2 linked regions of the Struthio camelus genome follow. The protein of the gene in region 1 interacts with the protein of each later gene in a pairwise test. Links are inferred from orthologs where the notes say so. Each region holds a gene or a part of one and is shown on either strand. Other genes may lie near its edges. The genes, in order: MAPK7 and UBE2C.

What was found.
Region 2: the proteins of MAPK7 (region 1) and UBE2C interact in binary tests that used the Homo sapiens proteins (3 or more experiments, as listed by UniProt). The two-hybrid records come from large-scale screens. The link is inferred for Struthio camelus from reciprocal best matches to the Homo sapiens genes MAPK7 and UBE2C.

Annotation. Positions count from the first base shown.
Region 1 is NC_090973.1:405,279-420,098, reverse strand, and holds the start of MAPK7 (mitogen-activated protein kinase 7), read right to left. Parts: upstream 6,582-14,820; 5' UTR 6,523-6,581; intron 5,276-6,522; 5' UTR 5,269-5,275; coding exon 5,097-5,268; intron 3,805-5,096; coding exon 3,639-3,804; intron 2,689-3,638; coding exon 968-2,688; intron 1-967. Other genes in the region: ZNF668 (zinc finger protein 668), read right to left, coding at 9,629-12,913. UniProt on the Homo sapiens protein: Plays a role in various cellular processes such as proliferation, differentiation and cell survival. The upstream activator of MAPK7 is the MAPK kinase MAP2K5.
Region 2 is NC_090959.1:19,294,806-19,308,826, reverse strand, and holds UBE2C (ubiquitin-conjugating enzyme E2 C), read right to left. Parts: upstream 5,296-14,021; 5' UTR 5,018-5,295; coding exon 4,917-5,017; intron 4,844-4,916; coding exon 4,816-4,843; intron 4,744-4,815; coding exon 4,657-4,743; intron 4,473-4,656; coding exon 4,268-4,472; intron 4,135-4,267; coding exon 4,075-4,134; intron 3,911-4,074; coding exon 3,852-3,910; 3' UTR 3,674-3,851; downstream 1-3,673. Other genes in the region: TNNC2 (troponin C, skeletal muscle), read left to right, coding at 962-1,013, 1,125-1,268, 1,343-1,457, 1,551-1,687, 1,780-1,811; regulator of G-protein signaling 9-binding protein-like, read left to right, coding at 2,583-2,729, 2,930-3,414; DNTTIP1 (deoxynucleotidyltransferase terminal-interacting protein 1), read right to left, coding at 5,680-5,827, 5,964-6,019, 6,469-6,540, 6,941-7,001, 7,198-7,256, 7,732-7,777, 8,127-8,188, 8,416-8,472 and 5 more. UniProt on the Homo sapiens protein: Accepts ubiquitin from the E1 complex and catalyzes its covalent attachment to other proteins. In vitro catalyzes 'Lys-11'- and 'Lys-48'-linked polyubiquitination.

The sequences.
Region 1 (14,820 bases):
CCGGGATGCAGCCCAGAGACGCCCACCACCACCACCCGGCACCCACGAGTCCCGGGATGCAGCCCAGAGACGTCCACCACCACCACCCGGGACCCACCAGTCCCGGGATGCAGCCCAGAGATGTCCACCACCACCACCCGGGACCCACCAGTCCCGGGATGCAGCCCAGAGACGTCCACCACCACCACCCGGGACCCACCAGTCCAGGGATGCAGCCCAGAGACGTCCACCACCACCACCCGGGACCCACCAGTCCCGGGATGCAGCCCAGAGACGTCCACCACCACCACCCGGCACCCACGAGTCCCGGGATGCAGCCCAGAGACGCCCACCACCACCACCCGGGACCCACCAGTCCCGGGATGCAGCCCAGAGACGTCCACCACCACCACCCGGGACCCACCAGTCCCAGGATGCAGCCCAGAGACGTCCACCACCACCACCCGGGACCCACCAGTCCCGGGATGCAGCCCAGAGACGTCCACCACCACCACCCGGGACCCACCAGTCCCGGGATGCAGCCCAGAGACGTCCACCACCACCACCCGGGACCCACCAGTCCCGGGATGCAGCCCAGAGACGCCCACCACCACCACCCGGGACCCACCAGTCCCGGGATGCAGCCCAGAGATGTCCACCACCACCACCCGGGACCCACCAGTCCCGGGATGCAGCCCAGAGACGCCCACCACCACCACCCGGGACCCACCAGTCCCGGGATGCAGCCCAGAGACGCCCACCACCACCACCCGGGACCCACCAGTCCCGGGATGCAGCCCAGAGACGCCCACCACCACCACCCGGGACCCACCAGTCCCGGGATGCAGCCCAGAGACGTCCACCACCACCACCCGGGACCCACCAGTCCAGGGCCACCACCCAATCAGGGGACCCAGGAGTCCCAGGGATGGAGCCCAGAACCACCCACGAGCACCGCCAGGGACCCAGGCGTCCGGGCACCGTTCACCTTTGCTCTTGTTCCTCATGGCCGACTTGAGCAGGGCGGCCTTGAGGGCGGCCTTGGTGTCGTCGGAGATGGCGCCGTCGCGCTTGGGGGCCGGCGGGGCCCCCGGCTCGGCCTTGACCCGGGGCGAGTCCATGGGGCAGTCGGGGGCGGGGCCGGGGCTGGGCATGTCCACGTCGGCGCAGGGCCAGGCCACGTTGGCGTTGGCCACGGAGACGCCCACCATGGGGAGGCCGGCATTGGCCATGGCGATGTTGGCCTCGGCCATGACGGCGTTGGCGGCGCCCATGCTGCTGTTGGCCAAGGTGGCCTTAGCCATGGCGGCGTTGGCCAGGGCGCCGTTGGCCAAAGCGGCGTTGGTCATGGCGGCGTTGGCCACGCCCACGCCGGCGTTGGCCATGACCACGTTGCCCAAAGCACCGTTAGCGTTGACCAAGGCGGCGTTGGCCATAGCAGCGTTGGCGTCGGCCGCGGTGGCGTTGGCCATGCCGACGGCGGCGTTGGTGCCGCCCATAGCCACGCCGGCCAGGGGGCCGTTGGCGTTGGCCAAGGCGGCGTTGGCCATGGCGGCGTTGGCGTTGGCCGCGGCAGCGCTGGCGTTGACCCCGTTGATGCTAGCGTTGACCGCGGCGCCATCGAGGTTGACCCTGGGGCCCTCAATGTTGACCAGGCCGCCATCGAGGTTGACCCTGGCGCCATCAAAGTTGACCCTGGCACCATCGACGTTGACCATGCCGCCATCAACGTTGACCATGCCGCCATCGAGGTTGACCCCGGTGCCATCAAAGTTGACCCCGGCGCCATCGACGTTGACCATACTGCCGTCGACGTTGACCCTGGTGCCGTCGGCGTTGACCATACCGCCGTCGACGTTGACCCCGGTGCCGTCGGCGTCGACCGCGGCGCCGCCGGCGGGGGCGAAGGCGATGTGGCGGCGGATGCCGTCGCGGCGGGCGTGGAAGTCGGCGATCTCGGCCACGATGGCCGCCTTGATCTCCTCCTTGGTGAGGGCGCGGCGGTCGAAGGCGAAGTCGAAGGCGGGCACGCACTCGGGCTCGTCCTCGGGGTCGTGGTACTTGGCCAGGAAGGGGTGACGCAAGGCCTCGGCCACCCCCAGGCGCTCGCGGGGGTCGAAGCGCAGCATGCGACCCAGCAGGGCCAACGCCGCCGGCTCGGCGTCGCCGAAGAGGCTCTCCCAAGGCACGGCCGGACGGGGCGGCAAGCTCTGCACGTACGCCCGCACCCGCTCGGCCCCGATGGCCGCCATGACGGCGGCCGGCGGCGTGCCCAGCACCGCCATGATGAGCTGCAGCTGGTGCACGTAGTTGCGACCCGGGAAGAGCTGCCGGCGACCCAACATCTCGGCGAAGATGCAACCCACCGACCACATGTCGATGGCGCGGGTGTAGCGGTGCAAGGAGAGCAGCAGCTCGGGCGCCCGGTACCAGCGGGTGGCCACGTACTCGGTGAGGAAGGCCTTGGCGTGACGCGGGTCGGCGCCCAAGCCCCGGGCCATGCCGAAGTCGCCGATCTTGAGCTCGCAGTTCTCGTTGACCAGCAGGTTGCTGGGCTTGAGGTCGCGGTGGAGGACGTTGGCCGAGTGGATGTACTTGAGGCCGCGCAGCAGCTGGTAGAGGAAGTAGCGCACGTGCTCCAGCGTCAGCGGCTGCGGCGAGTGGATGATCTGGTGCAGGTCGCTCTCCATCAGGTCCAGCACCACGTAGCTGCGGCCGGCGAAAGGTAAAGGGCCCAGGCGTCCGGCGTGCACGCGGTCGGGCTCTCGGAGGTCCCGTTCCACCCCGCGCCCAGCCCCTCGTTGAGGACCCAGGTGTCCCGGGTGGTGGTGGTGGGGGGGGTCCCGTTCCGTCCCATGAACCCCACCGGGGACCCAGGTGACCAGGGGTGTCCTGCTCCGCCCTACGTGCCCCATGGGGGACCCAGGCGTCCGGGGGGACCCACTCAACCCCAGAGCAGATCGAGGCGTCCAGGAGGCCCTGCTCCATCCCATGTGCCCCACCGGGGACCCAGGCGTCCGGGGGGACCCACTCAACCCCAGAGCAGATCGAGGCGTCCAGGAGGCCCTGCTCCATCCCATGTGCCCCATGGGGGACCCAGGCGTCCGGGGGGACCCAGGGGACCCACTCAACCCCAGAGGAGATCGAGGTATCCAGGAGGCCCTGCTCCATCCCATGTGCCCCATGGGGGACCCAGGTGTCCGGGGGTGTCCTGCTCCGTCCCATGTGCCCCGTGGGGGACCCAGGCATCCAGGAGATCCCGTTCGACCCCAGAGGAGATCGAGGCGTCCAGGAGGCCCTGCTCCATCCCATGTACCCCATGGGGGGCCCAGGTGTCCGGGGGACCCTACTTTGCCCCACTGAGGACCCAGAGCTCTGGGGAGCCCCGCTCCACCCCATGGCAGATCCAAGCGTCCGGGGGACCCCGCTCCACCCCACAGGGACCCAGGCATCCGGGAAACTCAGTTCCGCCCCACAACCCCACAAGGGACCCAGGCGTCCGGGAACCCAGCTAGGTGGACCTCCACGTCCAGCATCATCAACCCCACCACACCGAGGACCAAGGCGTCCGGGCAGCCCCTCGAGGGACCCAGGCGTCCGAGAGCACCCACTCCACCCCACAACCCCGCGGGAGGGGGCCCAGGCGTCCGGGCACGCACACGGAGCGGAACTCGCCGTAGGGCACGGTGGGCTTCAGGATGTCCTTGATGCCGATGATGTTGTCGTGCTTGAAGTGCTTGAGGATCTTGAGCTCGCGCAGCGTCCGCTTGGCGTTGGTCACCACGTCGAAGGCGTTGGGGATCTTCTTGATGGCCACCTGCTGGCCTGCGCCCCAGGGGCCCAGGCGTCCGGGGGTTCTTCAGCCGCTCAGGGACCCAGGTGTCCTGGAGCCTCACCCCCACCCCAGGAGCCCAGGCAGCCGGGACCATCCTACCACGGGGCCCAGGCGTCTGGGGCTCCTGCTCCCCAGGGACCCAGGTGTCCGGGACCCTCCCACCCTGGGGCCCAGGCGTCCAGGGCTCCCGCTCCCCAGGGACCCAGGCGTCTGGGACCCTCCCACCATGGGGCCCAGGCGTCCGGGGCTCCCACTCCCCAGGGGCCCAGGCATCCGGGACCCTCATGCCACAGGGGCCCAGGCATCCAGGGCTCCCGCTCCCCAGGGACCCAGGTGTCCGGGACCCTCCCACCATGGGGCCCAGGCGTCCGGGACCCTCACCCCACAGGGGCCCAGGCATCCGGGGCTCCAGCTCCCCGGGGCCCAGGTGTCCGGGACCCTCATGCCACAGGGGCCCAGGCGTCCGGGGCTCCTGCTCCCCAGGGACCCAGGCATCCGGGATCCTCGTGTCACAGGGACCCAGGCGTCCGGGACCCTCATGCCACAGGGGCCCAGGCGTCCGGGGCTCCTGCTCCCCAGGGACCCAGGCATCCGGGATCCTCATGCCACAGGGGCCCAGGCGTCCGGGGCTCCTGCTCCCCAGGGACCCAGGCATCCGGGATCCTCGTGTCACAGGGACCCAGGTGTCCGGGACCCTCATGCCGCAGGGGCCCAGGCGTCCGGGGCTCCAGCTCCCCGAGGACCCAAGTGTCCAGGACCCTCCCACCCTGGGGCCCAGGCGTCCAGGGCTCGCACTCCCCAGGGACCCAGGCGTCCAGGACCCTCATGCCACAGGGGCCCAGGCGTCCGGGATCCTCGTGTCACAGGGACCCAGGTGTCCGGGACCCTCCCACCATGGGGCCCAGGTGTCCGGGACCCTCCCACCCTGGGGCCCAGGTGTCCGGGATTCTCGTGTCACAGGGACCCAGGTGTCCGGGACCCTCATGCCGCAGGGGCCCAGGTGTCCGGGACCCTCAAGCTGCAGGGGCCCAGGCGTCCGGGACCCTCCCACCATGGGGCCCAGGTGTCCGGGACCCTCCCACCCTGGGGCCCAGGTGTCCGGGATTCTCGTGTCACAGGGACCCAGGCGTCCGGGACCCTCATGCCGCAGGGGCCCAGGCGTCCGGGACCCTCAAGCTGCAGGGGCCCAGGCGTCCGGGACCCTCCCACCCTGGGGCCCAGGCGTCCGGGCCCTTCGCGTCACCGGGGGGGGGGGAGGGTGGGGCCCAGGCGTCCGGCTCACCGGTGTCGCGGCGGCGGGCCGAGCTGACGACGCCGTAGGCGCCGGTGCCGATGGTCTCGATGATCTCGTACTCGTCGCCCACCTCGAAGGTGACGTCCAGCGCCCGGGCCTTGAGCAGGGCCAGGGGGCCGCCGGGCGCCCCCCGCCGCTCCCCGGCCTCCGCCTCCGCCATCCTGCGCCTGCCCCACAGGGACCCAGGCGTCCGGGAGGGGCCCAGGCGTCCGGGGGGGCCCAGGCGTCCGGGTCCCCCCCCAACCCCGCCGCTCCCCGGCCTCCGCCTCCGCCATCCTGCGCCTGCCCCACAGGGACCCAGGCGTCCGGGAGGGGCCCAGGCGTCCGGGAGGGGCCCAGGCGTCCGGGTCCCCCCCCAACCCCGCCGCTCCCCGGCCTCCGCCTCCGCCATCCTGCGCCTGCCCCACAGGGACCCAGGCGTCCGGGAGGGGCCCAGGTGTCCGGGGAAGGGCCCAGGCGTCCGGGAGGGGCCCAGGTGTCCGGGGAAGGGCCCAGGCGTCCGGGAGGGGCCCAGGCGTCCGGGGAAGGGCCCAGGCGTCCGGGTCTCCCCCAACCCCAGCACCCCCCCCCCCGCCGCTCCCCAGTCTCCGCCATCCTGCGCCAGCCTCACAGGGGCCCAGGCGTCCGGGCCTACCCGCCATGCGACATGGCTATGTCAGGGGCCCAGGCGTCCGGGGAAGGGACCCAGGTGTCCGGGAGGGGCCCAGGCGTCCGGGGAAGGGACCCAGGTGTCCGGGGAAGGGACCCAGGTGTTCGGGGAGGGGCGCAGGCATCCGGAAGGGGCCCAGGCATCCGGAAGGGGCCCAGGAGTCCGGGAGGAGCCCAGGTGTCCGGGGAAGGGACCCAGGTGTCCGGGGAAGGGACCCAGGTGTCCGGGAGGGGCCCAGGTGTCCGGGAGGGGCCCAGGCGTCCGGGGAAGGGACCCAGGCGTCCGGGAGGGGCCCAGGTGTCCGGGAGGGGCCCAGGCGTCCGGGAAGGGGCCCAGGTGTCCGGGGAGGGGCCCAGGCGTCCGGGAAGGGGCCCAGGTGTCCGGGGAGGGACCCAGGTGTCTGGGAGGGGCCCAGGTGTCCGGGGAGGGCCCAGGTGTCTGGGGTTGGGGGGGGCCCAGGTGTCCGGGAGGGGCCCAGGCGTCCGGGAGGGACCCAGGCGTCCGGGGAGGGGCCGCCGTCGCCATGGCGACCGCACCCCGCCCCGCTCCGTCACCATGGCGACGCCGCTCGGGCGGGGCGGGGCGGGGTTGGGCGCGGTCGCCATGGCGACGCGGGGAGCGGGGCGGCGGCGGCGGCGGGGGGGGGAAGGGGCGGGCGGGGAAGGGCGCGGTTGCCACGGCGACGCCGCGGCGGCGGCGGCGGCGGTTGCCATGGAGACCGCGGGCGGGCGGGGGAGGGAGGGGGGTTCCCGGGACGGCGCTCACCTCCCCCCGGCCGCGCCGCTCCCGCCGCTCCCCGCGGTGCCCCGGATGTAGCGCCTCGCCCCGCCCCCTCCGCCGCCGCCCAATCAGCGCGCAGCGGCTCCCCGGGCCGGAGCGAGGGGGGGCGGGGCTTCCGCGGGGAGGGGCCGCGCCGGAGAGGGTGGGGGAGGGTGGCGTTTGGGGAAGTGACGTCACGGGGCCGAAAGGGGGCGGGGCCGGATCCTTCCTCCCGCCCCCCCCAACCGGCCGCCCAGCGGCAGCGGGCGGGGCCCAGGCGTCCGGGCCCCGCCCCCCTTCGGCTTCTGACCCCGCCCCCGAGGGGGTTCGCAGGGGCCCAGGCGTCCGGGGGCCCCTAAGGCAGAGGGGCCCAGGCGTCCGGGTGCGTCCAGGACCGGAGGGGCCCAGGCGTCCGGGCACATCCTGGACCGGAGGGGCCCAGGCGTCCGGGCGCGTCCAGGACCGGAGGGGCCCAGGCGTCCGGGCACATCCTGGACCGGAGGGGCCCAGGTGTCCGGGCGCGTCCAGGACCGGAGGGGCCCAGGCGTCCGGGCACATCCTGGACCGGAGGGGCCCAGGTGTCCGGGCGCGTCCAGGACCGGAGGGGCCCAGGTGTCCGGGCACATCCTGGACCGGAGGGGCCCAGGCGTCCAGGTGCCCCCAGAACCGGAGGGGCCCAGGCGTCCGGGCGCATCCAGGACTGCAGGGGCCCAGGTGTCCGGGCGCGTCCAGGACCGGAGGGGCCCAGGCGTCCAGGTGCCCCCAGAACCAGAGGGGCCCAGGCGTCCGGGCACATCCAGAACCAGAGGGGCCCAGGAGTCTGGGTGCCCCCAGGACCGCAGGGGCCCAGGCGTCCGGGTGCCCCCAGAACCAGAGGGGCCCAGGCGTCCGGGCACATCCAGAACCAGAGGGGCCCAGGCGTCCGGGTGCCCCCAGAACCAGAGGGGCCCAGGCGTCCAGGCACATCCAGAACCAGAGGGGCCCAGGCATCCGGGCGCGTCCAGGACCGGAGGGGCCCAGGCGTCCGGGCACATCCAGAACCAGAGGGGCCCAGGCGTCCGGGCGCATCCAGGACCGGAGGGGCCCAGGCGTCAGGGTGCCCCCAGAACCGGAGGGGCCCAGGCATCCGGGTGCATCCAGGACCGGAGGGGCCCAGGCGTCCAGGTGCGTCTAGGACCAGAGGGCCCAGGCGTCCGGGTGCGTCTAGGACCGGAGGGGCCCAGGTGTCCGGGCACATCCAGGACTGGAGGGGCCCAGGCATCCGGGTGCCCCCAGGACCAGAGGGGCCCAGGCGTCCGGGTGCATCCAAGACTGGAGGGGCCCAGGCATCCGGGACCCCATAGCACCTCCAGGGGTGGGTGAGCAGGAGGGTCCCAGGTGTCCGGGACCCCATAGCACCTCCAGAGGTGGGTGAACAGGAGGGGCCCAGGCATCCGGGACCCCTTAGTCCATCCAGGACGGCAGCAGGGAGGTCGCCCGGGACGGAGCCGGGGCGGAAGGTGCCCGAGGACGCCCGGCCTTGGAGGTGCAGGTCAAGGTGGAAAGTGCTGGAGAACCTCTAGACCTGGAGATGCGTCCGAAAACGGAGAGTCTTGGAGGACACTTGGGTTTGGGGGTGATGGAGGTGCGCCCCAAGATGGAGCATCCTGGAGGACACCTGGGCTTGAAGGTGGTGGAGGTGTGCCCCAAGATGGAGCATCCTGGAGGACACCTGGGCTTGAAGGTGGTGGAGGTGCGCCCCAAGATGGAGCATCCTGGAGGACACCTGGGCTTGAAGGTGGTGGAGGTGCGCCCCAAGATGGAGCATCCTGGAGGACATCTAGGCCTGGAGGCGATAGAGGCGCACTCCAAGATGGAGAGCCCTGGAGAACCCCTGAACATGGGGCTGATGGAAATGGACTTCAAGGTGGAGAGCCCTGGAGGATACGTGGGCTTGGGGGCAATGGAGAAGCTCCCCAAGATGGAGGCTCCTGGAGGACACATGGGCTTGGAGAAGCCCCCCGAGATGGAGGCTCCTGGAGGACGCATGGGCTTGGAGAAGCCCCCCGAGATGGAGGCTCCTGGAGGACACGTGGGCTTGGAGAAGCCCCCCAAGATGGAGGCTCCTGGAGGACACGTGGACTTGGAGAAGCCCCCCGAGATGGAGGCTCCTGGAGGACACGTGGACTTGGAGAAGCCCCCCGACATGGAGGCTCCTGGAGGACTCGTGGGCTTGGAGAAGCCCCCCGAGATGGAGGCTCCTGGAGGACACGTGGCCATGGAGAAGCCCCCCAAGATGGAGGCTCCTGGAGGACACGTGGGCTTGGAGAAGCTCCCCGAGATGGAGGCTCCTGGAGGACACGTGGCCATGGAGAAGCCCCCCGAGATGGAGGCTCCTGGAGGACACGTGGCCATGGAGAAGCCCCCCAAGATGGAGGCTCCTGGAGGACACGTGGCCATGGAGAAGCCCCCCAAGGGGCAGAGCCCCCATGGAGGCCGTGACCCGGAACCGCTGCCCATCCCGCCCCTCACCCCGCCCCCCCGCCCCGGGGCCCAGGCGTCCGGGCGCCCCGCCCGCCCCCAGCCCTGATTGGGCGGGAGGACAGCCCCGCCTCCTCTGCGATGCCGTTGGGCGAGGGGGTGGCCGGGTGGGCGGGGAGCAGACGCGGGATTGGCTGAGAGGAGAGGGACCGCGATGGGATTGGCCGAGAGTGGGTGGTTGGGGGGGGGCGGGATTGGCCGAGAGCGGCGTGACATCATCGAGGGGAATCCGGGGCAGATCCCGCCCGGGGATTGGCCGGGAGGAGACCGGAGAGGGCGGAGCACGCCATTGGCTGGGAGCCAGTGGGCGGGGCAGAACGGAGGCGCGGGATTGGCCGGGAGGAGGCGGCGGCCGCTCTGGGCAGCCAACGGGGCCGTCTCGCTGCTCCCGGAGGCCAATAAAGAGCCGGAACCAGAGAGAGAGAGAGAGAGAGTCGCTGCCGGGGCCCCGGACGCCTGGGCCCCTTGGGGGGGGGCGGGGCCAGAGACGAGCGGAAGCCGGAGGATCCGATTGGGCCCTTTATTTTCCCGCCGCGGAGCCGGGGAGGGAAGCCACGCCCCCTTCTGGGAGGGGCGGGGCCCGGGCGGAGCCCTAAGCGGGGCCCGTGGGGGCGGAGCCGTGGCGGAGCCCCGCCCTCCCACGTGGGGGCGGGGCCGAGGGGGCGGGGCCGGGGTCATGGCGGCGCTGGTGCTTGCGCAGCCCCCCCCGGGCCCCGAAGCGCTTGGGGCAGTGGGGGCAGGCGAAGGGGCGGAGCTCGGGTGAGGGGGCGGGGCCTCCACCAGAGGGATCCGCCCCTTCCGGCCCCGCCCCCTCGGCCGGGGCTCTGCCGGGCGCCGCCACGTTGGGGCCTGCGCAGGCCGGGGCTCCGCTGGGCGCCGCCATGTTGGGGCCTGCGCAGGCCGGGGCTCCGCTGGGCGCCGCCATGTTGGGGCCTGCGCAGGCCGGGGCTCCGCTGGGCGCCGCCATGTTGGTGTCGCCACCCAGCAGAGTTCCCCCGGGGGCGGCCATGTTGGGGCCTGCGCAGGCCCGGGCGCCGCTAGGGGCGGCCATATTGGGGCCGGCGCATAACAGGGTTCCGCCGGGGGCGGCCATGTTGGGGCCTGCGCAGGCCGGGCCTCCACCGGCGGTGGCCATGTTGGAGCCTCCACACGACAGAGCGGGGACGGCCATGTTGGGGCCGCCACACAACAGAGTTCCGCCGGCAGCGGCCATGTTGGGGCCCACGCGGGCCGGACCTGCGCCGGGGGCGGCCATGTTGGGGCCGCCACACGATGAAGTTCCTCCGCTAGGGGCGGCCATGTTGGACACCAACCCTCCGCCGGGGGTGGTCACGTTGGATGCCAGCCCTCTGCCGGGAACGGCCATGTTGGATGCCAGCCCTGCGCCGGGGGCGGCCATGTTGGGGCCGCCACATGATGAAGTTCCTCTGCCATGGGCAGCCATATTGGATACCAGCCCTACTCCGGGGGCGGCCATGTTGGACGCCAGCCCTGCGCCGGGGGCGGCCATGTTGGGGCCGCCACACGATGAAGTTCCTCCGCCATGGGCAGCCATATTGGATACCAGCCCTACTCCGGGGGCGGCCATGTTGGACACCAGCCCTGCTCCGGGAGCAGCCATGTTGGACGCCAGCCCTGCGCCGGGGGCGGCCATGTTGGGGCCGCCACAGGATGAAGTTCCTCCGCCGAGGGCGGCCACGTCGGGACCCACGCTGGTGACGGGGGCGGCCTCGTGGCCGTGGGTGCGCTCGTGCTTGCGCAGGCTGGAGGAGACGACGAAGGCCTTGCCGCAGCGGGCGCAGGCGAAGGGCCGCTCGCCCGAGTGCACGCGCCGGTGCTTGGTGAGGCCGGCGCGCTCGGCGAAGGCCTTGCCGCACTCGCCGCAGCGCCAGGGCCGCTCGCCCGAGTGCACCAGCCGGTGCCGCTTGAGGTCCCAGGAGGCCACGAAGGCCTTGTCGCACTGCGGGCAGCGGTGGGGCCGCTCGCCGGTGTGCACGCGCCGGTGCACGGCCAGGTCGGCGGGTTGCCGGAAGGCCTTGCCGCACTCGCCGCAGCCGTAGGGCTTGAGGCCCTGGTGGGCCCGCTGGTGGCGCCGGTAGCTGGACGGGTCGGCGAACATGCGGCCGCACTGGGGGCAGAGGAAGGGCCGCTCGCCCGTGTGCACCCGCTGGTGGCTCTGGAAGGAGGAGAGCTGGGTGAAGGCCTTGGGGCAGCGGGGGCAGGCGTAGGGCTTGCGGGGGGCGTGGATGCGCTGGTGGCAGGCCAGCGAGGAGGAGCGGCCGAAGGCCTTGCCGCACTCGGCGCACAGGAAGGGCCGCTCGCCCGTGTGGCTGCGCTCGTGGTTGCGCAGGTCCTTGAGCTCGGCGTAGGCCTTGGGGCAGGCGGCGCAGCGGTAGGGCCGCAGGCCCGCGTGGCCGCGCCGGTGCTTGCGGTAGACGGAGGGGTCGGCGAAGGCCTTGGCGCACTCGGGGCAGGCGAAGGGGCGCTCGCCGGTGTGGGCCCGCTGGTGGACGGTGAGCTTGGCGAGGGTGCCGTAGGCCTTGGGGCAGGCGGCGCAGGCGAAGGGCAGGGGGGCGGCCGGGCGGCGGCGGGCGCGCAGGCAGGAGGCCTGGGCGAAGGGCTGGTCGCGCTCGGGGCAGGGCAGGGGGGCGGTGGTGGGGGGCGGCGGGGCGGCGTGGGTGCGAGCGTGCCGCAGGGCCCGCGGAGGGTTGGGGAAGGTCTTGGCGCAGGTCGGGCATTGGTAGCGGCGGCCCGACTTGACGTAGGGCGGCGGGGCGGCGGGCGGGTCATCACGCGGGGCGTTGCGCCCATCATCATGGCTGTCGTTGCGCCCATCATCATGGCTGTCGTTGCGCCCATCATCACGCGGGGCGTTGCGCCCATCATCATGGCTCTCGTTGTGCCCATCATCATGGCTCTCGTTGCGCCCATCATCATGGCTGTCGTTGCGTCCATCATCACGCGGGGCGTTGCGCCCATCATCATGGCTGTCGTTGCGCCCATCATCACGCGGGGCGTTGCGCCCATCATCATGGCTCTCGTTGCGTCCATCATCATGGCTCTCGTTGCGCCCATCATCATGGCTCTCGTTGCATCCATCATCATGGCTCTCGTTGCACCCATCATCATGGCTCTCGTTGCACCCATCATCATGGCTCTCATTGCGCCCATCATCATGGCTGTCGTTGCGCCCATCATCATGGCTCTCGTTGCGCCCACCATCACAAGGGTCATGGTGGGCATCATCACGGGTCTTCTTGCAGCCATCATCACACGGGTCATGGTGGGCATCATCACGTGGGTCATGGTGGGCATCATCACGCGGGGCGTTGCGGGCGTCATCATGGCTGTCGTTGCGCCCATCATCACGCGGGGCGTTGCGGGCGTCATCATGGGTCTTCTTGCACCCGTCATCACGTGGGTCGTTGCACCCATCGTCACGCGGGTCATGGTGGGCGTCATCGCGCAGGTCATGGTGGGCATCATCACAAGGGTCATGGTGGGCGTCATCACGCAGCTCATGGTGGGCATCATCACAAGGGTCATGGTGGGCGTCATCGCGCAGCTCATGGTGGGCGTCATCACACGGGTCATGGTGGGCGTCATCGCGCGGGTCATAGTGGGCGTCATCGCGGGTCTTGTTGCGCCCATCATCACGCGATGGGTCACGGCACCCATCATCACGGCTCTCGTGGCACCCATCATCACGTGGGTCGTTGCACCCATCATCACGCGGGTCGTTGCACCCATCGTCACGCGGGTCATGGCACCCATCGTCACGCGGGTCATGGCACCCATCATCACGCGGGTCGTGGCACCCATCACCGCGCGGGTGGTCGCAGGCGGCGGCGCGCCCCTCGCCCCCGTTCCCCTCCATGGCGGCGACCTGGGCGGGGGGAGGGGCCGGGTGAGGAGGAGGAGGAGCAGCAGCAGCGGCGCCCGGACGCCTGGGTCCCCTCCCCCCTCCCCCCCCCGCGTACACGCGTGTCGCAGGCGTGTTCTCCCTCCCCCCCCCAATGCTGCAGCCGGGCGGGGGGGGGCGCCCCTCCCCCCAGCTCCTTTGTCAGCGCACAAGATGGCGGGAGGGGGGCGGGGGCGGGGCATGGTGGGGCGGGGCCAGGCGAGGAGTAGGGGGTGCTATGCAGGAGGGGGGGGGCCGTGCAACGCCCGGGGGGGTGCAATGCATCATGGGGGGGGCCGTGCAATGCTCAGGGGGTGCAATGCATCACGGGGGGGGCCGTGCAATGCTCGGGGGGTGCAATGCATCACGGGGGGGCTGTGCAATGCTCGGGGGGTGCAATGCACCGCGGGGGGGGCCGTGCAATGCTCAGGGGGGTGCAATGCACCATGGGGGGGGCCGTGCAATGCTCGGGGGGGTGCAATGCACCACGGGGGGGGCCGTGCAATGCTCGGGGGGTGCAATGCACCATGGGGGGGGCCGTGCAATGGTCAGGGGGTGCAATGCATCATGGGGGGGGCCGTGCAATGTCCGGGGGGTGCAATGCACCATGGGGGGGGCCGTGCAATGCTCGGGGGGTGCAATGCATCATGGGGGGGGGCCGTGCAACGCCCGGGGGGGTGCAATGCACCATGGGGGGGCCGTGCAATGCTCGGGGGGTGCAATGCATCATGGGGGGGGCCGTGCAATGCTCAGGGGGGTGCAATGCATCATGGGGGGGCCGTGCAATGCTCAGGGGGTGCAATGCATCATGGGGGGGGCCGTGCAATGCTCAGGGGGGTGCAATGCATCATGGGGGGGCCGTGCAATGCTCAGGGGGTGCAATGCATCATGGGGGGGGCCGTGCAATGCTCGGGGGGTGCAATGCATCATGGGGGGGCCGTGCAATGCTCAGGGGGGTGCAATGCATCATGGGGGGGGCCGTGCAATGCTCAGGGGGGTGCAATGCATCATGGGGGGGCCGTGCAATGCTCAGGGGGGTGCAATGCACCGCGGGGGGGCCCGTGCAATGCTCGGGGGGTGCAATGCACCACGGGGGGGGCCGTGCAATGCTCAGGGGGGTGCAATGCACCGCGGGGGGGCCCGTGCAATGCTCGGGGGGTGCAATGCACCACGGGGGGGGCCGTGCAATGCTCAGGGGGGTGCAATGCACCATGGGGGGGGCCGTGCAATGCTCGGGGGGTGCAATGCACCATGGGGGGGCCGTGCAATGCTCAGGGGGGTGCAATGCACCGCGGGGGGGCCCGTGCAATGCTCGGGGGGTGCAATGCACCACGGGGGGGGCCGTGCAATGCTCGGGGGGTGCAATGCATCATGGGGGGGGCCGTGCAATGCTCAGGGGGGTGCAATGCATCATGGGGGGGGGGCCGTGCAATGCTCGGGGGGTGCAATGCACCGCGGGGGGGCCGTGCAATGCTCAGGGGGTGCAATGCATCATGGGGGGGGCCGTGCAATGCTCAGGGGGGTGCAATGCATCATGGGGGGGCTGTGCAATGCTCGGGGGGTGCAATGCACTGCGGGGGGGGCTGTGCAATGCTCAGGGGGGTGCAATGCACCACGGGGGGGCCGTGCAATGCTCAGGGGGGTGCAATGCACCACGGGGGGGGCCGTGCAATGCTCAGGGGGGTGCAATGCATCATGGGGGGGGCCGTGCAATGCTCAGGGGGGTGCAATGCACCACGGGGGGGGCCGTGCAATGCTCAGGGGGTGCAATGCACCATGGGGGGGGGCCGTGCAATGCCCGGGGGGTGCAATGCACCACGGGGGGGCCCGTGCAATGCTCGGGGGGTGCAATGCATCATGGGGGGGGCCGTGCAATGCTCAGG
Region 2 (14,021 bases), on another chromosome or scaffold:
GGGTCCCCTCGCCAGGCAGGGCGGGCGGTACTGGGGCTGCACGTGCCTCCCGCTGTGCCGGGATGTGCCAGGGAGGCAGCAGGGACGTCACCACCGGCCGGGCTGAGCGGCGCCGGCGCGGACGGAGCTGGGAGGCGTCGGGCAGGGCAGGGGCCGCGCGGCCGAGCCGAGGGGCACGGGAGCCGCCCCGGCCGGACCCGGGGTGCGCTGTGCTGCACCGAGGAGGAGGAGGACGAGGACGAGGATGCAGCTGCGGCTGTAAGCTGAGCACTGGGTCATGCGACACTGGGGGCACGGGGGCCGGCCGGCTCTCCAGGCGAAACTCGATCCAGGGCCGACAGGTGCCCGCAGCCCCGCTGCTCCCTATAAGGGGAGCTAAGGAGATCCCAAAAATAGTGCTGCACGCCTGGGATGCCAAGGCTGCGCGGCGGGGACCGCGGCCTCGGCCCCACAGGGCCCCCCGGCAGGGACGGGGGCCCGCACCGGGCAGCTCTCCGCAGCCCTCGCGCAGCCCGCGCGGAGGCCCAGCAGCACCTGGGACTGCCCAGGGCGCGCTCGTCCCGCGCACAGCGCCGTTAGCACTCCGGCCATGCAAGCTCTGTCGCTGGCACCCGTGTGCCAGGCTGCAGGGCTGCGCTGGGCAGATGCGCTGGAGCCTGGTGGTGGGAGCCAGGACTTTCCCCATTGTGAAGCTCCTGGCCCCATTACAAAGCTCCTCACCCCATTGCAAATCTCCTCACCCATCATAAAGCTCCTCACCCCATCACGAAGCTCCTCACTCCATTGCAAATCTCCTCACCCCATTGCAAATCTCCTCACCCATCATAAAGCTCCTCACCCTGTTGTGAAGCTCCTTGCCCCCTTGGGAAGCTCCTCGCCCCAGGGAACGGCGCTGTGCTATCTGGCACAGGGGCTGGGGTGTGCGGGGCTGGTGGTGACCCCCTCTCCCCGCGCCTTGCAGACGGACCAGCAAGCGGAAGCCCGTGCCTTCCTCAGCGAGGAGATGATCGCGGGTGAGTGAGGGAGCCGTGGGGCGCGGGGACGGATCCCGGCCGGGGGTCTCTCCCCAGGTGCCGGAGGCCTCGTCCCACACGCTGCCCTGCCTGACACCCCCTTTCCGGCAGAGTTCAAGGCTGCCTTCGACATGTTTGACGCGGACGGCGGCGGGGACATCAGCACCAAGGAGCTGGGCACGGTGATGAGGATGCTGGGCCAGAACCCCACCAAGGAGGAGTTGGACGCCATCATCGAGGAGGTGGACGAGGATGGTGAGCAGCCCTCCTCGGCGGGCCGGCGGGCCCCCGGCAGCACCCCTGACCGCTCTGCGGTTTCCTCCCCGCAGGCAGCGGCACCATCGACTTTGAGGAGTTCCTGGTGATGATGGTGCGCCAGATGAAGGAGGACGCCAAGGGCAAGTCCGAGGAGGAGCTGGCCAACTGCTTCCGCGTCTTCGACAAGTGAGTGGGGTGGCAATGCCCATGGGCGCCTGCCCCAGGGGGGCCGGCGGCCGCATCCTGCCCGGCCCGACCACCTGCCCTCGCCTCCGGCAGGAACGCGGACGGCTTCATCGACATCGAGGAGCTGGGCGAGATCCTCAGGGCCACCGGCGAGCACGTCACCGAGGAGGACATAGAGGACCTCATGAAGGATTCGGACAAGAACAACGACGGCCGCATCGACTTTGACGGTGAGCGCTGGCGCCCGCCGCGCCGGCTGGCCCCGGGCCGCGGCGCCGAGCCCCCGGCAGGCCCCGGCGCTGACGGTGCCGCTCTCTTGCAGAGTTCCTCAAGATGATGGAGGGCGTGCAGTAAGGGACCAGACATTCCCGGGGCCCGGCCGCTGCTTCCAGCCCCGCTCCGCCGCCGCCGTGCCGGCGCCCCATGGGAAGCAGCATGTCCGCAGCGCCTGGCCCCGCACCGCCGGCTCCGGCCGGGCCCCCGCAGCACCATGGGCCGGCTGGGGAGACCCCCGCTCGCGCCGCAGCTCCGGTCTCCGCGGACGGCGGCCAAGGCCTTTCCCTCTGCTCCGTCAGACGCGGTTTATGTTTGAGCCTCATTAAAAGGGGAAAAGGCTGGAGCTGCTGCTGCCTGGGGCTCCCTGGGCGGGGGGCAGCGGGGGCAGCGCGGGAAGGCGCGGGCCGGCGGTTCCCACGGCCTGCTGGGCCGGCGCCAGCCGTGAGCTCAGATTTTCCGCGTGGCCCCACGGCGCTGGGAGCTGGCTCAGCCGGGGGTCCCAGCCTGCAGCCAACCTCCAGGAGACCCCCCGGCCGGGGCTGCTGCCCGCCGCTGCGGGGCAGGGGCGCCGGAGTCCGCCAAGCCCGGGGGACCCCCCGGGAGGGACAGAGCCGGCGGTTCGAGGTGACGCCGGGAGCAGCGGTGACGCCGGGAGCCCCGTGCCAGGCTGCTGGAATGTCGCCGCTCCCCGGGGACCCCCCTTGCTGCGGTTCGGCGCAGCCTCCCCGGCAGGGAGGAGCGCAGCCACGGCCGGGAACTGCCGCGCGGGCACGGGGGAGCCGAGCCCCAGGGCGTCGCGGCGGCGGATGGCGGCGCGAGCGGGCGCGGGCAGCGCCCCAGGGGCAGCAGGGACGTGCGCGGCCGCCCAGGCCGCTCTGAGCAGGGCCACGGCCGGGCACCGGCAGCTGGTGCTGCAGCTGGGCGGCAGCGCGGACTGCGCCCAGCTGCGGGAGGAGCTGCGCCGCAGCAGCGCCTGGGCGCGCGAGCTCAGCGCCGGTAAGGCACGGCTGGCCCACGGGGACCGGGGAGGGCGCCAGGTGCTGGGGTCACCCCCCCGGGCGGTGCGTCGCCCCCGGCCGCCCACCCTGTGCCGGGGCTGGGGCAGCCGCTGCCTCAGGGCAGGGCCAGACCGGGGGGGTCGGAAGGGGCCGGGCGCGGGGCCATCCGTCCCCGCTCAGCGGCGTGCTGTCCCGCAGGCCTGCGGAGCGCGCTGGTGGCGGGGCTGCGGCGCCCGCCGGCCGGCCCCCAGGAGCGCCTGGAGCTGGAGCGGCTGTGGGTGCTCTTCCTCTGCGCCCTGGAGCTCTTCCTGCAGGACCTGCGCAAAGCCCACCACCTCGGCCAGCTCTTCGGCCCGCCGGGCGCCGGCGGCGCGGCCCTGCTGCGCACCGGGCTGGGCGGCCGGCCCGAGGGCCCGTGCCGCGGCGGGGGGCGGCCCGGCCGCCAGGGCAGCCACAGCCCCGAGCGGCCCCCGGCCGCCCCACGGCCCGAGGAGGAGATCGAGCAGATGAGGGCCATGCTGGCGGAGATGGAGAGCAGAGCCAACATCCCGCTGTGGACGGTGGAGGCCACGCAGCGGGGCCGGGCTGCGGGCAGCGCGGCTACCCGGGCCGGGGCGGCTCGGGGGCAGAGGCAGGCTGCGGGGCCGCGGCCGGGCACTGGGCACTGCTGCGCGGTCCTGTGATGCGCCCCGGGCGGGCGAGAGAGTGGCAGGGCTGGGACCCCCGTCCCGCAGCCTGGGGCGGCGCGGCCGCCGCGGAGCCGGCGATGCCCCGGGCACCGCGGAGGGTTATTAAAGACCCCGTCAGCCCTCGAGGTTTGTTGTCCCTCCTGATTCCCGCACGGGCAGAGGGGCCTGGGCCACGGCGCCCGTGGGAAGGGGCCACCAGGCATGCGCAGGGACAAGATGCCAGGCTGCAGCTTAACCCTCCGGGCCCCCAGCACAGAGTTATAAACGTGCATTTATTTATACATTAACCGTGGCTCGGACTGCAGAATTAATTTAAAAACAGCCTATGATACAGAAAGCCGCGGAGAGCGGCAGGACAGAGACAGAGCAGGAGAGCAGAGACCCAAGAACGAGAGACAGACACTGCCGGCGGGAAGGGGGGGAGCGCGGGGTCAAGTTTCCTGGCTCTTCGCCTGCTTGGCATACGTTTCCCGCAAATACTTCTTGAAGGCTGCGAGGAGAGGGAGAGGATGGTGCTGAGGGGCCCGGGAGAGCGGCCGGGCAGCCCCGCAACAGGAGCGCAGCGCGGCGCCGGGCAGCACCCGCGCAGCGGGGTCCGGGGCTGCGCGGCGCCTGGCCGCGGCAGGAGCGGGGATCCCGCCCCGGGACACTCACCAGCTTGGTTCTTCCAGAGCTCGGCCGCGTGCGTGTTCAGGGGGCTCTCGATGTTGGGCTCTGCGGACAGGGCACGGGGTCGGCGGTGGCCCCGACCCCAGCGGCCCGCCGTGCCCCGCCGCCGGCGGGCGCAGCTCTCGCCCAGCCCGGCCCCCCCCGGCAGCACAGCCCCGAACCCCGCGCCGGGCCCCACCTGCCAGCAGGCTCTGGATGGAGAGCAGGATGGTGCGGACGTCGTACAGGGCCGACCACTTGTCCTTGAGGATGTCGAGGCAGATGTTGCCCTGGGTGTCGACGTTGGGGTGGTAGCAGGGCGTGACGAAGCGCACGGTGGGCGCGTTGTAGGGGTACCCGCTGGGGAACTCCAGCGACAGCTTGTACCGCAGGTCCTCGTAGGCCTGGGGGCAGGAGTCAGGGAGGGGGCCGGCCGGGGTGGGGGGTCGGGGCCGCCCCGTCGGGGGTGGGGGGGGGCAGGCAGGGCCCGGGGGGGCCGGGGCCGCCCCTGTCGGGGGTGGGGGGGGGCAGGCAGGGCCCGGGGGGGGCCGGACCGCCCCGGCCCCGCGGGTGCCCCGGGCCGCTCACCGTGCCGGCCGCGCCGTCGATGGTCCCGATCCACTTGAAGAGGTTGTCGGACTCGGGGAAGGCGGAAATGCCCTTGTCACCGGACATCTGCGGGGACAGCGCCGTCAGGGGGGCTCGGAGCCAGCGGACCCCCCCCCGACCCCGGCGCGCCCCACTCACCATCAGCGACATCAGCTCCTGCTGCAGCCTGCGGGGGAAGCTCGTGTTACCGGGGCGGCCGCGCTCCCCCGAGCCGCCCCGGCCGCCCGGCGCCGCCTCACCTCTTGCCCACGGAGCCGCGGGCGGCCGTGGCCCCCGCCTCGGCCCCTTTGCGGGCGGCCGCGCTCGGCACGGCGGCGGGGTCCGCGTTCTGCGAGGCCATCGCGGCTCCCGCTCCGCCTCCTGCTCTTGGGCTCCGGCCGCGGCTGCTCGCGCCCTGCTGCGCCCGGCGCTGCCCCCGGCTCCGCTCCGCTCCCGGCCCGCTGCCCCTGGCCCGGCTCCGCTCGGCCCGCTGCCCCCGGCTTCGCTTCGCTCCGCCCCGGGCCCGGCTGCTCCCGGCCCGGCCCGGCTCGGCCTGGCCCGCTGTCCCCGCTCCGCTCCGGGCCCCGCTGTCCCCGCTCCGCTCCGCTGCCGGCCCCGCCGTCCCCGCTCCGCCGTCCCCGCTCGCCCCCGCCGCTCCCGCGCCCCCGTTTGAATGTTTCAAACCCGCGGCCCCTCCGCCAATCGGCGGCGCGCTCCCTTCGAGCCGACCAATCACCGCTCGCAAGGGATGCGGCTGCCTTGGAAACAGCGGCCGGCCGCCGATTGGTCGCACGGCGACGCCACACACGCTCCCCTATTGGCGGCTCACCCGTGACGTGACCTCCCAGCCCGGGGTGGGGGGGGGGGGTCCAGGCGGACCCCTTAAAGGGCCAGCACCCCCCCCCCCCAACCCCCCTACCCCTCGGGAAGGAGGCAGCGGAGGCGGGTGCGAAGCAGCTTTATTGCGAGGGCCGGTGCCGGGGTGGCGCCGGGCGGCGGCGGGGCCACTGGGCAGGGCAGGCCTCAGGGCTCGGGGGGCCCCTCCGGCGGCGGCGGCGGTAGCGGGTCCCCTCCGTTGCGAAGCGTCTCCATGTACTTCTGCATCTTCTCCGTCATCCAGGCCGGTGGGATGAAGGGCTTCAGCTCCTCCAGCTTCAGGTCAACGGAGTCCCTGCGGAGGGCAGAGGCCAGCGCTGAGCGGGGACCCCTGCGGCTCTTGCACGGGCAGGGTAGCCCCTGGTTCTGAGCCATTTTCACTAAAGGGGAGAAGGTTGCAGCACAAAAGACTTCTGGGCTTCTAGCCTCACCTGTAATCCTCACTGGCAGCCAAATCCCGAATATCCTCTTCAATGAGGAGATAAGCCTGCAGCACAAGGGGCAAAACGCTTCAGGTTTCCCATGCGAGAGCTTTGGACGCACCATGCTTCTGCTCAGAAATGAGATGTCTGCCTGGCACAGTGATGGAAGCTCATAACCCCCTTCCCGCTGGCCCTGTTAAACCCCACCAGCCTGCAGACCTGCTCCTACGAGGAGCTTTTGGTACCTCCTGGTTCTGCCCTACTCTCTCATATGTGCCCAAATCCCAGAGGAGCAGCAAAACACAATCTCCTTGGCTGAGGTGCCCCAAGCACCCAGAAACAACTGCCTCACCGAGCTCTGCCTGGCCTCCTGCACAAACTCACCTTCCCCACAACACACTGTTTTCGCTGCACGTGCCCTGGTTTACTGCTCACCTGCCCATTTCAATCCTGAATTGGGATTCTGTACAGTTCTCTCTCAGGCTGCGGCAGGCGCAAGCCTGAACGTACTCACCATCTTGCCCCCAGTGGCCCTCATGTGCTGCTGCTCTGCCAGCCAGTGCTTATCTTGCGGATCGGCTGCATACTGCAATAAAGCAGCAAGGACCTAGCTGAACACAGGCAACAGACCTTTTGCTCTGACCACCCCTGTATTTGGGCACTGAACCCCATTCTAGTGCTCCACTGCAATTGCACGACCCCCCAAATGCTGCCGATCTGTATCTTCAGGGAGGGAACGCTCAGCTCTGCCTGCTTTTACTTCAGAGTAAAACCCTGGCTCCAGGCAAAAACACCACTTCAGAGGCTGCACTAGGCTGTTAGCTTATGTTTCAGTGTGCTAGCCAGACTCTAGATGTTCTAAGACAACAAACAAGGGTGTGGGAGAGGAAGACAACAAGTGAGCCAAAGCATACATTCCTGATTCCCATCACAAACTGTTTCTGAGCAAACCCCAAAGGAGGAAGCATCCTGCTGTGGTATCTGACCTTAAAGAGGTGGGGATGTTTGATGTAGAGTCGCCCTCTTGTTCCTCCCATCCCGAGAGCTCTGAAACAGGAACACGAGGCGGGTGTTAAACCGGTGCAGAAGGGGCACTGAGCGGTACAGGGACACTTACTCTCCTCTCCTCTCCTCCCCAAGCCCGTGCCCTTCCTACTGCTTCCAAGGCAGAGAGGTGATGGGAGGAGTCTTAAGGGCTCCTGCCTGGGAGACACCACCCTCCATCAACAGGGCCATTCCTTACTTGTTTGCTCGAGATCCCAGCACAAAGGTTGTGGTTTCAGTCAGTCGGGATGGATCCCACTACAGAGCAATTGGAAAAGGGGCAACATTAGAAATGAAGCTGGTGCCAACCAATGCTCCATGAGCCTCAGATCTCTGATGGGGGCCTCAGAACCGCCCCCTGAGCTGGGAGGGAGGCAGCTAGCCACAAACCTCTGGATTTCCACAGAGGAGGGAAATTATGTCACCCTGGGCTGCTCTAAGCAGTTTCCTCGGCACATAACACTCGTGGGATCCTCCTGGCTACTACTGCTTGCCCTAAGTCTCCTGAAAAGCTGGTACCACACCACAGAACTATAGGCTACAGTGACTGGAGGAGACGAGCATAGGCTTCCAGGCACTTCACTCCTCTTCTTGCTTCTTTCTTTGCAACACAGAGGCCCATCAGGGCAGAGCACAGCTTAGAACTGTCCTCCGGTCCCACAGCAGGTGGGGCTCTGCTGACGGAAGCAAAGAGGAGGAGAGGGTGAGCCCAGCAGTGTTGGCCAACCGATACCTTTGGTCCATCCCTTCTCACGGGCTCAGAGACTTTGAGCTTCCACCTGAGGGGAAGGAAAATGAAATAAGAACGGATCCCAGAGGCACCAACTCACAGAACACCGCAAGCACCTAGCAGCAGGGAGCTGAGCTCCACCCCCTCCCAGCTCCATTTGCATTCACACCTTCTATTTCTCTCCAGTGCCCAGCTCTGGATCCTCATCCGTGCTGCACATTCTCTTCTCCCCAGCTGCCAACATCCCACCTCTACCTGTGTCATATACTGCTCACCCTGAATAGTCCATCTGGACCCTTCTGCCCCTTTGGGCCTTGCTTTCCAGAGGGTCTTCTACACTCCCTGCTTCATTCCCCACCCTCTCCAAGCGCAGGCTCTAAGTCAGAACCCATACTCACGCAGCCATGCCCGAGACCCCACGATCATTTGCCAGGCTCTGTCCTGGAGGCCGACCCTTTCTCTGCAAGAAAGATATCCTTGAGCTACTCATTTGTGTAGGCTGAGGGTACTCTTTCGGTTATCCTCTGCTGGGAAAATTGCTCTTTTTACCACGAGCAAAGTGCTGGCTAGCCCTAGAGTAAGGACCTCTAAGGCATTACAAAAGCTGCATCTGCATGCACTTATTTTCTGGGAAGGATGAGGAAGAGGCTTCCCATAACATAAAAGCATTTTTGTGGAAAACCCTACCTTTTTGGGAACAGGGCTTCCTCGCCGATTCAACTCCTCATCCATCTGTCTGGCACGCTGGCAAAGGAACGGCAGGAAGTGAACAGCAGCCCTTCTCCCTGTCTAGTCAGAACCCCCACCCACCCTGTCAGCTACTCTCTTATCTGCCGCACTTGGGGCACAGAGCACAAGTGCACAGGGAACGCTGAAGCCAACCCATCTCGGTATGAAGCACGTAGTTGCAATAAGCAACAGCGCATGGGACTTTTGTTGCTCTGTACCCCCTCCCTCCTAGCCCAACATCTCCCAGTTCTACCCCCTCATTAGAGCAACTGATGGACAACCAGATATCAGGGAGAGATCTATCCTGCAGCTTTTAAAGGACAACACTGTACCCCCCACTTACATATTGATTCTGTAATTCAACAGATAAGGAACAGGCAGAAAACAAAGCAACTCAAAACCCTCCTCTTATTTCTTCCAGCTCTTAAAGTCATTTAAGACTACAGGAACAATAACAACTTTTACCTTTGGTACCGCCTGCTCATGGGGCAACCTTGGGATCACCTTTTTGCCATCAGAGAAAAGCAGCTTGGCCTGTAAGAAGAGAAAGGATTATCTGATTCTGGGTCCAGAGAGGGACTGCCAGCTACCCCTGCCTTTCCCTATGAAAGGGGCTCATGTGTGCAAAGACACTCGCGCTGGAGAGAGAGCCCCAGGCCAGGTAAACTTTAAAGGCCATAGCTAATGACTCAGATGCCCAGTAGACCACAAGGGCTGGTCACTGCAGACCCCAGAGATTCAAGTGTATCTGGCCAGAAGCCCTATATCAGCTCTGGTTGCAGAGTGATTCTAAAGCGCAGTGCTGTTCACAGACAGTGAGATGCAAGAGCACGATCAAGTCAGGATGACCGGCACAAAAGTAAGATCTGAAAGAAGAAGATCACAGTCTTGTTGGAGGAACCTTCAACGGGTACCAGGGAACTAGAGTCACTGTGAAAGCTCCCTGCTGTCAGCTGTGTGCAACAAGCATGGACAGAGCATCAGTGGGAAGCAGCAGTTCATTGAGAGCTACCCAACCCCGACTACTCTCCTTTTCGACAGGGAAAAAGAAGTCGAGCACAGTATCCACGGAAGGACTGTGGACGCCCTCCTCTGGCTATTCTGCAAGACTGTGAGGAGGAACATGCCCTACCGCAGGCTGCTCTGCACAGCCAGCCAAGCAAATAGTAGTCTGCCGCTGCTGGACATACCAGGCTGCCCCGGGTGTGCAGGGCCCTTGGCTATGGTGCCCACCTGTTCTAGGCAACTCCGGCACGTCTCCTGGATGAGCTGCTCTGGGTCCACCTCCTCCCCGACATTATCACGCACATTGATTGCTGCTTTCTGGAAAAACTGGTGAAGAGGCAGCAGGAGAAGGTTAGAGCCTGACCAGCAAGGCAACATCGGGGCAAGCACATGGTGCACTTGTGCTCTCACACTGCACCCGCGTGCCAGCGGCCAGGCTGGCACAGGACAGGCGTGACCGCCTCACACAGCCACCCAGGAGCCAAGCTCCTCCTGCAGGGCCCACAGCGGGACAGGGTGGCACGAGGCACTGCCCCGGCAGCTCTCACCTTCATGTACTTGTTGAAGACGCCTCGGATTTCCTCATTGATGCTGGGCTGCAGGACGGCTCGCAGCAGCTCCATGGACACGACTGGGTCTGTGAAGCTGAAGGTGCAGAGATCAGGTGGGTGGCACAGACCCCCTCCCCCAGTCTGGTCTAATCCAGACCCTCTCCTCCAGGCCAGTCCAGCTGCCCCCTCCCAGCCTGGCCCAGTCCGGTCCTCCCACTGCCGCAGTCTCCCCTCTCGATCCTCCAGGTCCACCCGGCCCGGTCTCCCCCCACCCCCTCCGTATCAGGTCCAGTCGGGACCCCTCCCCTCCCCGGTCCCGCTCCCCATCGGCTCCGTCCGGCCAGCCCGGCCCGGCCCGTGCCCCCCAGCGCAGCGCGGCCCGGCCCGGCCCGGCCCGCCGCCGTTACCTGGTGGTCATCTGGGAGCGGCGGCCGCGCCGCTGCACCTGCCGGTGCTTGATCATGATGTTCCAGGGGCTCTGCGGGAAGAGGCGCGTCAGCCCCGGCCCCGCCGGCCCCCCGCCGGCCCGGCCCCCCGCCGGCCCCCGCCTCACCGTGCTGACCAGCTGCTCCTCGGCGCCGCCCGGGCCCTCCTCGCCCGGCGGGCCCGGCTGCTGCTCCGCGTCGCGGGCGGCCCCCATGGCGGCCGCGGCCGCAGCCCCAGCCCCGGCCCCGGCCCCGGCCCGCCGCCCTCGCGCCCGGAAGCGGCCGCCGCGCGCCGGCGTCATCGCGCCGCGCCGCCCGCCGGAAGCGCCCGGCTGCCATGGCAACGGCGGGCCCGGCCCGGGCCGGCCGGGGCGGGGGGGTGTGGGCGGCCCTCGGCGGGGCAGGAGGCTCGTGGGGGTGACGGGGGGGTGTGAGGTGACAGGGGGTGTGTGGGGTGACGAGGGGTGTGAGGGTGACGGGGGTGTGAGGGTGACGGGCGAGTTTGGGGGTGACAGCAATGTGGGGGTGTGGGGGGTGGCGGGGTGTGAGGCTGATGGAGGGTTTGGGGGTGACAGGAGTGTGGGGATGACAGGGGTGTGTAGAAGTGTGTGGGTGTATTTGGGGGGTGTACTGGTGGTGTATGTACTTGGGGGTTGTGCTGGTGGTGTGTGTATTTGGAGGGGTGTGCTGGTGGTGCGGGTGTATTTGTCGGGTGTGCTGGTGGTGTGGGTGTATTTGGGGGTTGTGCTGCTGGTGTGGGTGTATTGGGGGGTGTGCTGCTGGTGTGGGTGTATTGGGTGTGCTGGTGGTGTGGGTGTATTTGGGGGTTGTGCTGGTGTGTGTATTTGGGGGGTGTGCTGGTAGTGTGTGTATTTGGGGGTTGTGCTGGTGGTGTGGGTGTATTGGGGGTTGTGCTGGTGGTGTGGGTGTATTTGGGGGTTGTGCTGGTGGTGAGGGTGTATTGGGTGCGCTGGTGGTGTGGGTGTATTTGGGGGTTGTGCTGGTGGTGTGTGTATTTGGGGGTTGTGCTGGTGGTGTGGGTGTATTTGGGGGTTGTGCTGGTGGTGTGTGTATTTGGGGGGTGTGCTGGTAGTGTGTGTATTTGGGGTGTGTGCTGGTGGTGTGGGTGTATTTGGGGGTTGTGCTGGTGGTGTGGGTGTATTGGGTGTGCTGGTGGTGTGGGTGTATTTGGGGGTTGTGCTGGTAGTGTGTGTATTTGGGGGTTGTGCTGGTAGTGTGGGTGTATTGGTGTGCTGGTGGTGTGTGTGTATTTGGGGGTTGTGCTGGTGGTGTGGGTGTATTTGGGGGTTGTGCTGGTGGTGTGGGTGTATTGGGTGTGCTGGTGGTGTGGGTGTATTTGGGGGTTGTGCTGGTAGTGTGTGTATTTGGGGGGTGTGCTGGTAGTGTGTGTATTTGGGGGTTGTGCTGGTGGTGTGGGTGTATTGGTGTGCTGGTGGTGTGGGTGTATTTGGGGGTTGTGCTGGTGGTGTGTGTATTTGGGGGTTGTGCTGGTGGTGAGGGTGTATTGGGTGCGCTGGTGGTGTGGGTGTATTTGGGGGTTGTGCTGGTGGTGTGTGTATTTGGGGGTTGTGCTGGTGGTGTGGGTGTATTTGGGGGTTGTGCTGGTGGTGTGTGTATTTGGGGGGTGTGCTGGTAGTGTGTGTATTTGGGGGGTGTGCTGGTGGTGTGGGTGTATTTGGGGGTTGTGCTGGTGGTGTGGGTGTATTTGGGGGTTGTGCTGGTAGTGTGTGTATTTGGGGGTTGTGCTGGTGGTGTGGGTGTATTGGGGGTTGTGCTGGTGGTGTGGGTGTGCTGATGGTGGGCCCGTGGGGGTGCAGGGCATACGGGTGCATCGCTGCGGGAGGGCGGTGTGATGGGGCGGGTGCGGGGGTGCGGCGGCGTGGGGAAGGTTTCCGACGCGGTAAGGTAGGCGCTAGTGGAGCAACGGCCTCCTTCCTGCCAGCTCCTGCGTGGTTTGGTGTAGGGGAAATAACGGGAACCAATAAACGTGCTTGCCGTTTCCTGTTTGGTGTCAGCTTGGGTGTCAAAGCGTTAAACTCTCTGTATGTCCCGCAGCGCAGGTGCTCGGCGTAGCTGTGAAGAGCTGCACAGCTGTTTGTATCGCCTCGCGTAGGAGGCAGCACAGCAAAGTGTGTGTAAATAATCTAAGAGAATGGAAGTAGACTGAAATTGCAGTTGTAAATTTAAGACATCCACGCTTATTTCCCTCTGTGCTTGCAGGTGCATTTTTTCCTCATGGTTTATTTTACACATTACCTATTGGTATGCATATTCCCTCTCAAAAAAGTATGTAAATACCAGGTAATGTAAAAATTTATAGCAAGAAAAGAATCCCCAGTTGTTCAAAAGTACAGCTGTCATGGATGAATTTGTAGTGATGGACTGACTGTCAGCTCTCAAAAATAATCAGAAGTCTTAAAGCTTAAAAAAAAAACTTTTCCACCAAAATTGGAAATATTGAGACCTTCCTCAGACTGAAATCGGTAGCACACTAATCTTACCTACGGTACCAAAATAATTACAGTTATAGAAATGTAAATATTTGTTCTTTTATTGTCTGTAAATATTTTTGTTGTCTGATCTAGTATACCTGAAATACAAAAATAAAGTTGTTGCAGTTCCAATCTTAATAAGCTGTGTGTCTCTTTGCTGCAAGCCTCTCAGGATTCCTGAATCTCATTGTGTGGCTTAGGAAATATAGGAAATATTTGAAGCCAGTGTTCCTTAAATTTAACGTGTCAGCTTGATCAGTTACAACGTCTAGAATATTCAAAATGATTTGTCCATTGTTCATTAGACCTTTTTACCCTTGTACATTGGTTAACGTGAAGCTTTTTCTGTTGGGTCAGGTGGATGAAAATTTAAGAGGCAGATTTGCTGTTTTGTTGGTAAAATTTGTTACTTCCAAAAAGATTATAAGATAAAAACCGGCGAATTGGGTTTGCCAAAATGCGTTGTGTTAGGGCAGTTCGGTGTCTCTTGTTCAAAGAGTAACTAATCTAAAGGATGATGGAGATAATACTCGATGAGTATAGAGAGTGTGTTCAAGCAGTCATTTTCAGTATATCACCAAGTGTTTGTCCGTAGTGACCTAGGCGTACCTGATTGTGTCTCAGCGTAAGAGAGGAAACAAGATCATCTTTTGACGTTTCTTTCAGCGTTATAACACGTCAACTTACGAGTGTGATCCCCTTAGTATGCTTGGTTTGAATCGTCCATTGTAACTGTCGGTGTAGTGCTAAATAGCACTTGGCACCTTTGTGAGATCAGGACTTGCTGGTTAGTGTTTATTGCTGAGGAGGGAGGCTATGTGGCTCATCTTCTGTTCGTGTAGTACAAGAGACTCCTGCTTTTGTGGCCTCTTTCCTGCTACTTTAACTGTGGCTGCATTGACCGTGAATGAGATCAGGCTGTTATATAAATTAAACCTGTGGACATGTGGCCATTGAAGTCATCGTTAGTGTTGCCATGGCTTCATTTTCATCAGTGTTGGAATTTTTATGGGCAATTTTGGTTGTTCCCAATCATTAGGAATTTTATTTCCACAATATATGACTATATG